2 linked regions of the Coturnix japonica genome follow. The protein of the gene in region 2 interacts with the protein of the main gene of each other region in a biochemical or structural test. Links are inferred from orthologs where the notes say so. Each region holds a gene or a part of one and is shown on either strand. Other genes may lie near its edges.

Region 1 (3,813 bases), on a different chromosome or scaffold from region 2:
ATGACTGAGCAATTAAGTACTGAAATAAGCATGTATCAGTCAGTACATTATACTCTGGCAAGAGAACTACTATATATGGCAAGAGTACTTTGGACATGGTTTCACGTTCTCCCTTCTACTTGAGTACAGGCAGTTTACTAAATAAAGGCTTCTTCATCTAATATTTAAAAACTTTTTCCCAGTCAATAGCACTTCATTTTCTAGGACTGTGATGAACACAGAGTCAAGGGCATCAAGGTCAAAACAACATTCTCTCTAATTTTTTGTCATGTTACATATCCAGAAGTGACTGTAGGCACAAAGATGTTGATAGTTGTCACAAAAGGAGAAAGAAGTATAAAAGACATTAAATTAGGCAAGTACCAAACGCAGAAGGAATCAAGACTACAGTTTTGTGTAGATCATAATTAAGCAAATACTGGGCAGGCTTTGGCTTGAACAGTTCAGGCACTGTGTATACAAGGGAATGAGTAACTTGAGTGACTTTAACTCCAGTCTCTATGAATTAAATAGCTCAATGAGCAAGGCAAAATAAGCAGAAGGTTTCTTTAGAAAAAAACAAAACACCTACTAGTCCTGTTTTATCTCTTAATCCACTTAAGCTACATTCTGTTCACCCAGAAGCTAAGAAAAGTAATAATGTACCTTGTTTTTAAATTAGTATGAATCGAGTGCAATCTTATCATGAAGAAAAAAGATGAAGAAAGGAGAAAGACTGTTAACTGGATCACCTTACATTTTATCCCTTCACAATTGTTCAGAAAATGACTAAGAGGAAAACAAGGTTTTTTGATTCCCTGAGTTATCCTTGAGAACTCTATTCATCTGTTCAAAAAACAGATATACTAATTATGGAACACTCTCATCAAAAGTTTACACTGAATTCAATAAACAACATTGTAAAACAGGGTGTTCTGATGCCTTAAACAGTAAGGTCCAACGCTACAATCTGTTCCAAACACTGAGTACATGATAAAGTACCCAACTCACATCAGAAGTTCACAATGCAGTGAAGAAGTCAGTATCAACAGAAGTCAAAAACGGCCAAATTGCTATCAGTAGCCTCCACAGAATGTGCTTAGGAGGTTTCACTTCACAAGCTAAGTACGCTCACAGAAGTATCCCTTCTTCTAGTCTGAACAAAACTTCGCTTAAAACAAATGTTCAATTATCTTTTCACTGCTGTAAAAAAAAATACTATTGGAACCTGGTAAAACTCAGTGTTTACAATGACCATTCCCCACTCCTGTTGTTTTTTTTTCCCAGAGCATGAGTTAAGCCATGGTTCTAGCCAAAAACCTAAGTTGAAGATACTCTGGGTTTCTAACTTAGGGACAATTATTCATTGTTTTGAACAAGCACAAACATCTCACTTTGAACTAATACCAACAGATGAACAGACTTACCAAGATATAGGCGCCCAAAGCCTCCTTGCCCTATAGGAACACCTAATTTCCATTCTTTTCTTGATGTGTCTGTTAGAACCTCCCCCGAAGCAAACACTTCAGCAAGTTTCCTTTTCGTGGGGGCCTTTTTTCCAGCTGTCTTCTTAATATATGGCATCTTTGCTGCAGAGGGAGAAGAGGAATGAAGGGAAAGAGAAATAGAGAAAAGCAAGAATTATGTGCTGACAAGAATTATTTTCATGGTATTTCGTGTGACAGTGCTTTATGCTTGCTTTCGCTTCTGATAGCTTCCTATGTAGATTGTTTAATTTGTTACTGTGAAGATACTTTAAAAGAAATACAGTAAGTATTTTCCTTGGCATAAATTCAAAACAAAAACAACAAATTTCTTCAGGCTTCAGAAAAAAAAGAAATCTGAAAGCAAAAATGTTCACCTGAGAAAGTTATTAGGAGACTCTGTATAACACACAGCAGAAAAATCTCAGAATCTGTTATACTAAATTCATCACAACTGACTGTAATTCTGAGCTTAGAAAAAAAGCAAACTAACGAAACAAAGCTCATCAGTTTTCCAGGAGCTTAATTTGCTTTGCAAAAAAAATGTCAGATAATCCAAGTTTCCAGTAATAATAGGGACAGGTATTAACGTTTACACCACAACAAACAAACAAACCAGTAATATCTACATTTCTCACAGATTCCTTCTATCTGTATGAAAATATCAGAAAAAATAGTGATTCAAACTGTTAATTGTATTTTTCTCCTGCGTAACTGCAAGCAACAGGAGTGAATCTATTTATCATTCACAGGACAGGACTTAATAGATCACCAAAATCTACACCTAACTACATGTCTGGAGACTACAGATGTAAAATAAACGTTGTCGCAACTTTCCAACCTCAGGTTCCAGATAAGCAGCATTTCTAGAAGTAACACAACAGCTCACTGGAACAAACGTCACTGTAAGCAAACACATGTTTGGGCTCCTTCACAAGCTGGCCAGTCAGCACAGGAATGAAGTGAAAAGGTATATGATTCTAGACCAAAGAGATGTCTTGCTTTTTCTGGTTCCTTTTTAATCTGAGAATTTTCTCTCTGTCATAGAGCCACACCTGAATACCTACATGGATGAAACGAGTAACTGCAACAAAGCACTATTATCAAACATCAGCATCACTGGAAGAGACGGGTACTTAATGATACCTTAATTGCACTTGCATCCTCATCATAGGATGTTTTAATTCAGCATCACTTCCCCATATTTCATTTTACTTAGATACATTACCATTCTTCCCTATAGTCAAGATACAACTTAGACATTCTACACTTAAAATTTAGGACTAACTTTGCTCATAATTTTACCCATATCCTCTCGTCTTTATCTTATTGTTTCCACTTAAAATGGGATATATACTGTACTGCCTTAGAGGAAGAGTCCTCCTCCAGCTATTCTGTAGATCCAAGCATCAGATGCAAGTTCAGCTAAGACCAGGGAAGTGGAAAAGTGATGAAGTCAAAGCATCAGAAGAAATAGAGGTAGGAATGGCTGTGGCCATTCCATTATACTGTTCAATAAGGCAAGCAGCTTAGCAGTACATCCAGATCAGGAAGGAAAAGACATTATCAGAAAGCACTGAGTAGAGCCAATAAAAGAGGTAACGGGATAATAAAAATATTTGGAACCACCCTTGGACTGACACAGGTAAGGAAAAATCAGCACTTACCCAATGGACTCAGATACGCATAAAGATTGTGATCACTGACATATTCTACAGGGTACAAAAAAAGCCATACCAGGGGAGAAAATAGGCATCATGACAACAATTTGAGAGATATGAAGGGGACGTAAAGAGGAGTGGAAAGACTGCAACATGACCTCAGAGTTACTGTAAATAATTCCAGAGAGAATTGGATAGGTGGAATTCAGGTCCCTGAACGCTGGACAGTACAGTAAAAGCAAAATTCACAGCATCTCCTTCAATAAAGCTAGCAAGCCAGCCAAACAAATGTATTGATACATTTAGTATCCTTGACTTCCACAGCAATTCTACTGATAGCAGATTCCCTTTAAAGAGATTTAAGTTTACTTGAAATAGCTTCACAAAAGTATTAAGGAAGGAGCTGGCATTTCTCTTTTTGGTTATTGTTGTCATTCAATGCAGTCAGTAATTATAAGCCTGAAGGTATTTAGTTAAAAATAAATAAATAAATTAACAATGACTTCCCTTTACCCATAAAAACAAAAATTAAAAATGGACATAAGTTTGAGCATCCCCAGCTGGGATCCCTGCCCTTAACAAATACACTAGATACACATACATGGTTTCTTGGCTGTCTATATTCATATCCATCTGTTAGGATGGCAGTGAGCCTACTTACAAGTTGGTCAAACTATCGGTAGGCCAGA
Region 2 (4,253 bases):
GGGTGCCGTATGAGAACTTTTACCCCAATTCCTTTAATCCCAAGTACAAAAATTAGCCAAAACACAGAAGTCTGTGAGTCACTGGGTTATTTTTCTTAGCCAGCATTTACAGAACACACATTTTACCCCTTGATAACACAGAAGGGAAAGGACCAAGTCAGCAAGTGATCACATCTAATGTTCATTTCTGAAACACAGTCCTGGAGGTGAATGCAGAGCACACAGGGATGGCTGCTATCAGCTGTGACTGAATGGGACCAGTCACGGTGACAGTCAGTTTCTCTCTGTTGTTCCCTTACAGAACTTACTGTACTTCTCTGCCTGCTCTGCCCACCCCCACAGGCTGCAGGTGCCACAGAATCACACAGCACAGGAGCTCATCACAGCCACCAGCAGCGTCTGCTCCTGCACCGTGACTGGGGGATGTAATTCCACTCACCTGCAGCCACAGGACGAGCGGCAGTTCGTTGTACCCCGCACTGTAGTACAGCCACCAGAAAAGATGCGCCTTGCTGCGGACCTGCACGTACCCCCACAGCTCCCGGGGGGGCTCCAGAGCCGCTCCTGTGGGCAGAAAGACCGTCAGTGGGGGAAACACCAGGAGCCCCACCGAACCCGGCTCAGAACATCGCGTTTCAGCCTTGGGTGTGATAATTAGAAGGGCTTCAATTAAGAAACTACCACAAGGAGCCCGGCTGTAGATATACACACACCCACAGCTGACTGACCGGCCACCAACGAACCAAGAGCGGCGGGGAACGAAGCGCGGAGCTCATCGGCCGGCACCGCCCCGCCTCGGGACGGGCCATAGGACCGCGCTAAGGCCGCCCCGCTCCGCAGGGCACCGCGAGGAGACGGAACACGGGGGTTGGAGCTACATGATCCTTGAGGTCCCTTCCAACCCGGGTAATTCTGTGATTCTGTGATTCTGAGACACGAGAGGACAGCGGGGATCGCCCCGCTCAGCCCCGAAGCGCTGCCCACACACTGCAAGGGGTGCCCGGACACGGCCCGTACCTGCCACCAGAGCCGCGATCAGCGCCATCCCCGCAGCAGCCCGCCCCGCTGCCATCCCCACAGCAGTTCTCCCGCAGCTCCAGTCCCGCCCCTCTCTCTCTCTCTCCATCCCGCCCCTTTTGTCCCCCTCAGGCCGCCGTCCCTCCTCCCCTCCCTGCCCCCAACATGGCGGCTGCTGTCGGTTCCCCGCTCCGGCTGCGGCTGCAGTTCGATTTCCCGCCGCCGGGCAGCCCTGGCTGCGCGCTGTGCTGGCTGCTGCTGGAGCCGGGTCAGGCGCGGCTGGTCACCGACCTGCTCAGCATCATCCGGCACCGATTCGGCTTCAGCCGCCGGGCCCGGCTCAGCCTGTTCTTGGACGGGGCGCTGCTGCCGCCCACTGAGAGCGCCCGGCTCGTGCGGGACAACGATGCGCTGCGGTACGACGGGATGGGAGATTTTGGAAAGGGTCCAGAGGAGGGACAGGAAGATGATCAGGGGGCTGGAGCACCTCCCCTATGAGGACAGGCTGAGGGAGTTGGGTTTGTTCAGCCTGGAGAAGAGAAGGTTGCGGGGTGACCTCATTGCAGCCTTTCAATACCTGAAGGGAACTTACTCCCAGGAGGGGAGTAAACTCTTCGAAAGGGCTGACAATAGCAGGACACGGGGAAATGGTTTTAAGTTAAAAGAGGGAAGATTTAGGTTGGATGTTAGGGGGAAGTTCTTCACTAGGAGAGTGGTGAGGCACTGGCACAGGTTGCCCAGTGAGCTGTGGGTGCCCCATCCTTGGAGATGCTCAAGGCCAGGTTGGACGGAGCCCTGGGCAACCTGATCTAGTAAAGGTGTATGTTTGGTGGCCCTGCCAGGCAGGGGGTTGGAACTACATGATCCTTGAGGTCCCTTCCAACCCGGGTCATTCTGTGTGATATGGGGGCGGTGTGAGCGCAGTGTGAGCGCGGCTGGATGCTGTTTGTTTGTGTCTCTTTAGGGTGACGCTGGAGGAGATCACGGAGGAGCGGTGCGAAGAGACGGATGGAGAGTGCCGGGCACAGAAAGGTGATAAAACAAGGCACAAACGGCGGCAGAAGGAGCGAGAGGAGGAAAAACATCAGAGGGAAAAGAGGAAGGAGAAACGTGAACCAGAGTGTTCGTCCGGCAGAGAGGACAGCGCCGGGGATGGATCCGACACCAGGAAGAAATCCAAGAAGAGAAAGAGAAGGGAAGAGAACAGCGGGATGGTTCCAGAGGGGAAGAAGGGCAGAGCCCCGAGGCTGCAGAAGGCACCGGCAGCCAAAGCAAAAGATGGGCAGCAGGCAGTGCTACCTGTGTCAAAGGCGGCCCATAAACGGGTGGGCAGCGCTGCTCTGACCCCCAGTAATCGGACACTGGAGGCCCAGAAGCAGAGGGTGGGAACGTCGGAGTCCTCCAGCACATCGTCCGACAGTGACAGCGCTGAATCAAACGTAAAGCAAAGTAAATCCTCACACAGACCTGCAGCAATGGTGCTTCCCAGAGACAAAGCACAACCTGCAGTGACTGCTGCTGCTTGTAAGCAAATGTCGAATGCTAAACGTGGCAGTAAGGATGCAGGTAGTAAAAACGCTAAGAAACCGCAGTCCTCCAGTTCAGATTCGGACTCAAGTTCCGAGGATGAAGGAGCAGCACCAGCACAAGGCAGAACTGCAGAGCAGGCGCTGCCCAACAGCACAGCAGTGGCACAGACTGGGGCCATTGGGGCTCCCAAAGCCGGGAGCTCTGAGTCTGAGTCCGACAGTTCCGATTCAGAAACACTCGTCATTAAAAAACCTGCAGCCAATGCTGGACTGAGTAATTCCATAGCAAGAAACGGCTCCAAACAGTCACCAGCAGGAGTCCAAGGGCTGGCTGCTGGGCTGGGGCGTGGGAGGGGGCGTGCAGCGGGAGCGGGGAACTTCTGGAGAGGACCGAGGGGCCGCGGGTTCCGGGGGATGGCGAGGGGCTGGGGCAGAGGAGAAAGCACGGGCTTCTTCTATAGCTACAGCAGTGAAGGCCAGAAACAGAGGCAGCTGGATGAAGCTGTGACAAACACCCCTGTTCCTGTCCAGGTGAGTGACTTACGCAGTCATTGACCAGCTCTCTGTCACAGCCTTAACTGTATAATTAAGTACAGCGTGAGGGTAATTTGGAAAAGCTGAAGAAAGGTAAGTAGGGTAAAGGCTGATAGATCTGAACACGGTACATTTGATGTTTGCAGTATATGTCCTGCAGAAGAACTTATGAAACAATAAGTGATTGTATTGGTGGAATAATTGCTATGGGCAACTTGGAATGAAGGCACAGCGCTGTTCATAGCAGAGTGCAGCTGAGATGCTGATCCGCCAGCAGGTGGCACTGGAGGTGGAGTGGAGGGAGACTGCAGCCAGGTTCTGTGATCCACAGCAGCTCCCTGAGCAACCACAGTAGTGGTGTTGGCAGCATCTGGAGGACTGCTGTTAGTGGCTGTAATTGCAGTGCTGGGATGGATGGAAACTTGGTGGTACTAAGCTGCAGATGTGCTACCCTGGGTGGGCAGCCTGTCATTCTTAGACAAAATGCCGTCCTTTGGGTGAACTTTGCTCATTATGCACTCGTTATAATACCAAAGCACACCTCCATCCCCAAAGATGCCCACCCCAAGGAACAACTGCCCTCACTGAGCACTGCTCTGAATTCTTTAGCCTGTACCTTTAAAACCTCTTCCCCCCCCCCCAGGTGAGATTCACACACTTGGTTACACTGAGAGCTTTTATGGGAAACTCATAAATCTCAGTGGAGTTGTTTGTGACCCAGCACACGTGTGCCAGGTTGTTATTCTCAGCTCTTTGCAGACTGAATTTATCAGCAGCTCTTTGTTTTGCAGAATGCTGTGGATGTCCCCAAGAGAGACTACAGCGTTCTACCACTTCTAGCTGCCCCACCACAAGTGGGACAAAGAATTGCCTTTAAGGTAAGGATCTTTGGAAGTACTGAACGTCAGTAGGTCAGCGCTGTTTCACTTGGGCCCTGTAAGTTTTGCAGGGAACCATACACAGTCCTGCCAGCCAAAAGCCTGTATCAATAGGTACACTTCCAAATAAAATGATTTTTTTTTTTAAAGAAGCAAAGAAAACTGAAATAATTGCTGCTGAGGAGACTGGACTTTTCTCCATGATCTCCTTTCACAGCCTGACCTGAGCAGGAACCCTTCAGAGCAGTGAGTCCTGGCAGGCTGTGATAGGCACTGGGATCTGGGTGCCTTGGTT

What was found.
Region 1: of the proteins of COIL (region 2) and VRK1, one has a biochemical effect on the other in vitro, tested with the Homo sapiens proteins (2 studies listed by BioGRID and IntAct, with this or other methods). The link is inferred for Coturnix japonica from reciprocal best matches to the Homo sapiens genes COIL and VRK1.

What each region holds. Positions count from the first base shown.
Region 1 is NC_029520.1:42,296,374-42,300,186, reverse strand, and holds part of VRK1 (serine/threonine-protein kinase VRK1), read right to left. Parts: exon of another isoform or gene 3,786-3,813; intron 1,569-3,785; 5' UTR 1,564-1,568; coding exon 1,407-1,563; intron 1-1,406. UniProt on the Homo sapiens protein: Serine/threonine kinase involved in the regulation of key cellular processes including the cell cycle, nuclear condensation, transcription regulation, and DNA damage response.
Region 2 is NC_029533.1:7,746,908-7,751,160, forward strand, and holds the start of COIL (coilin), read left to right. Parts: upstream 1-1,145; 5' UTR 1,146-1,182; coding exon 1,183-1,433; intron 1,434-1,981; coding exon 1,982-3,077; intron 3,078-3,871; coding exon 3,872-3,958; intron 3,959-4,253. Other genes in the region: SCPEP1 (retinoid-inducible serine carboxypeptidase), read right to left, coding at 440-564, 1,018-1,126. UniProt on the Homo sapiens protein: Component of nuclear coiled bodies, also known as Cajal bodies or CBs, which are involved in the modification and assembly of nucleoplasmic snRNPs.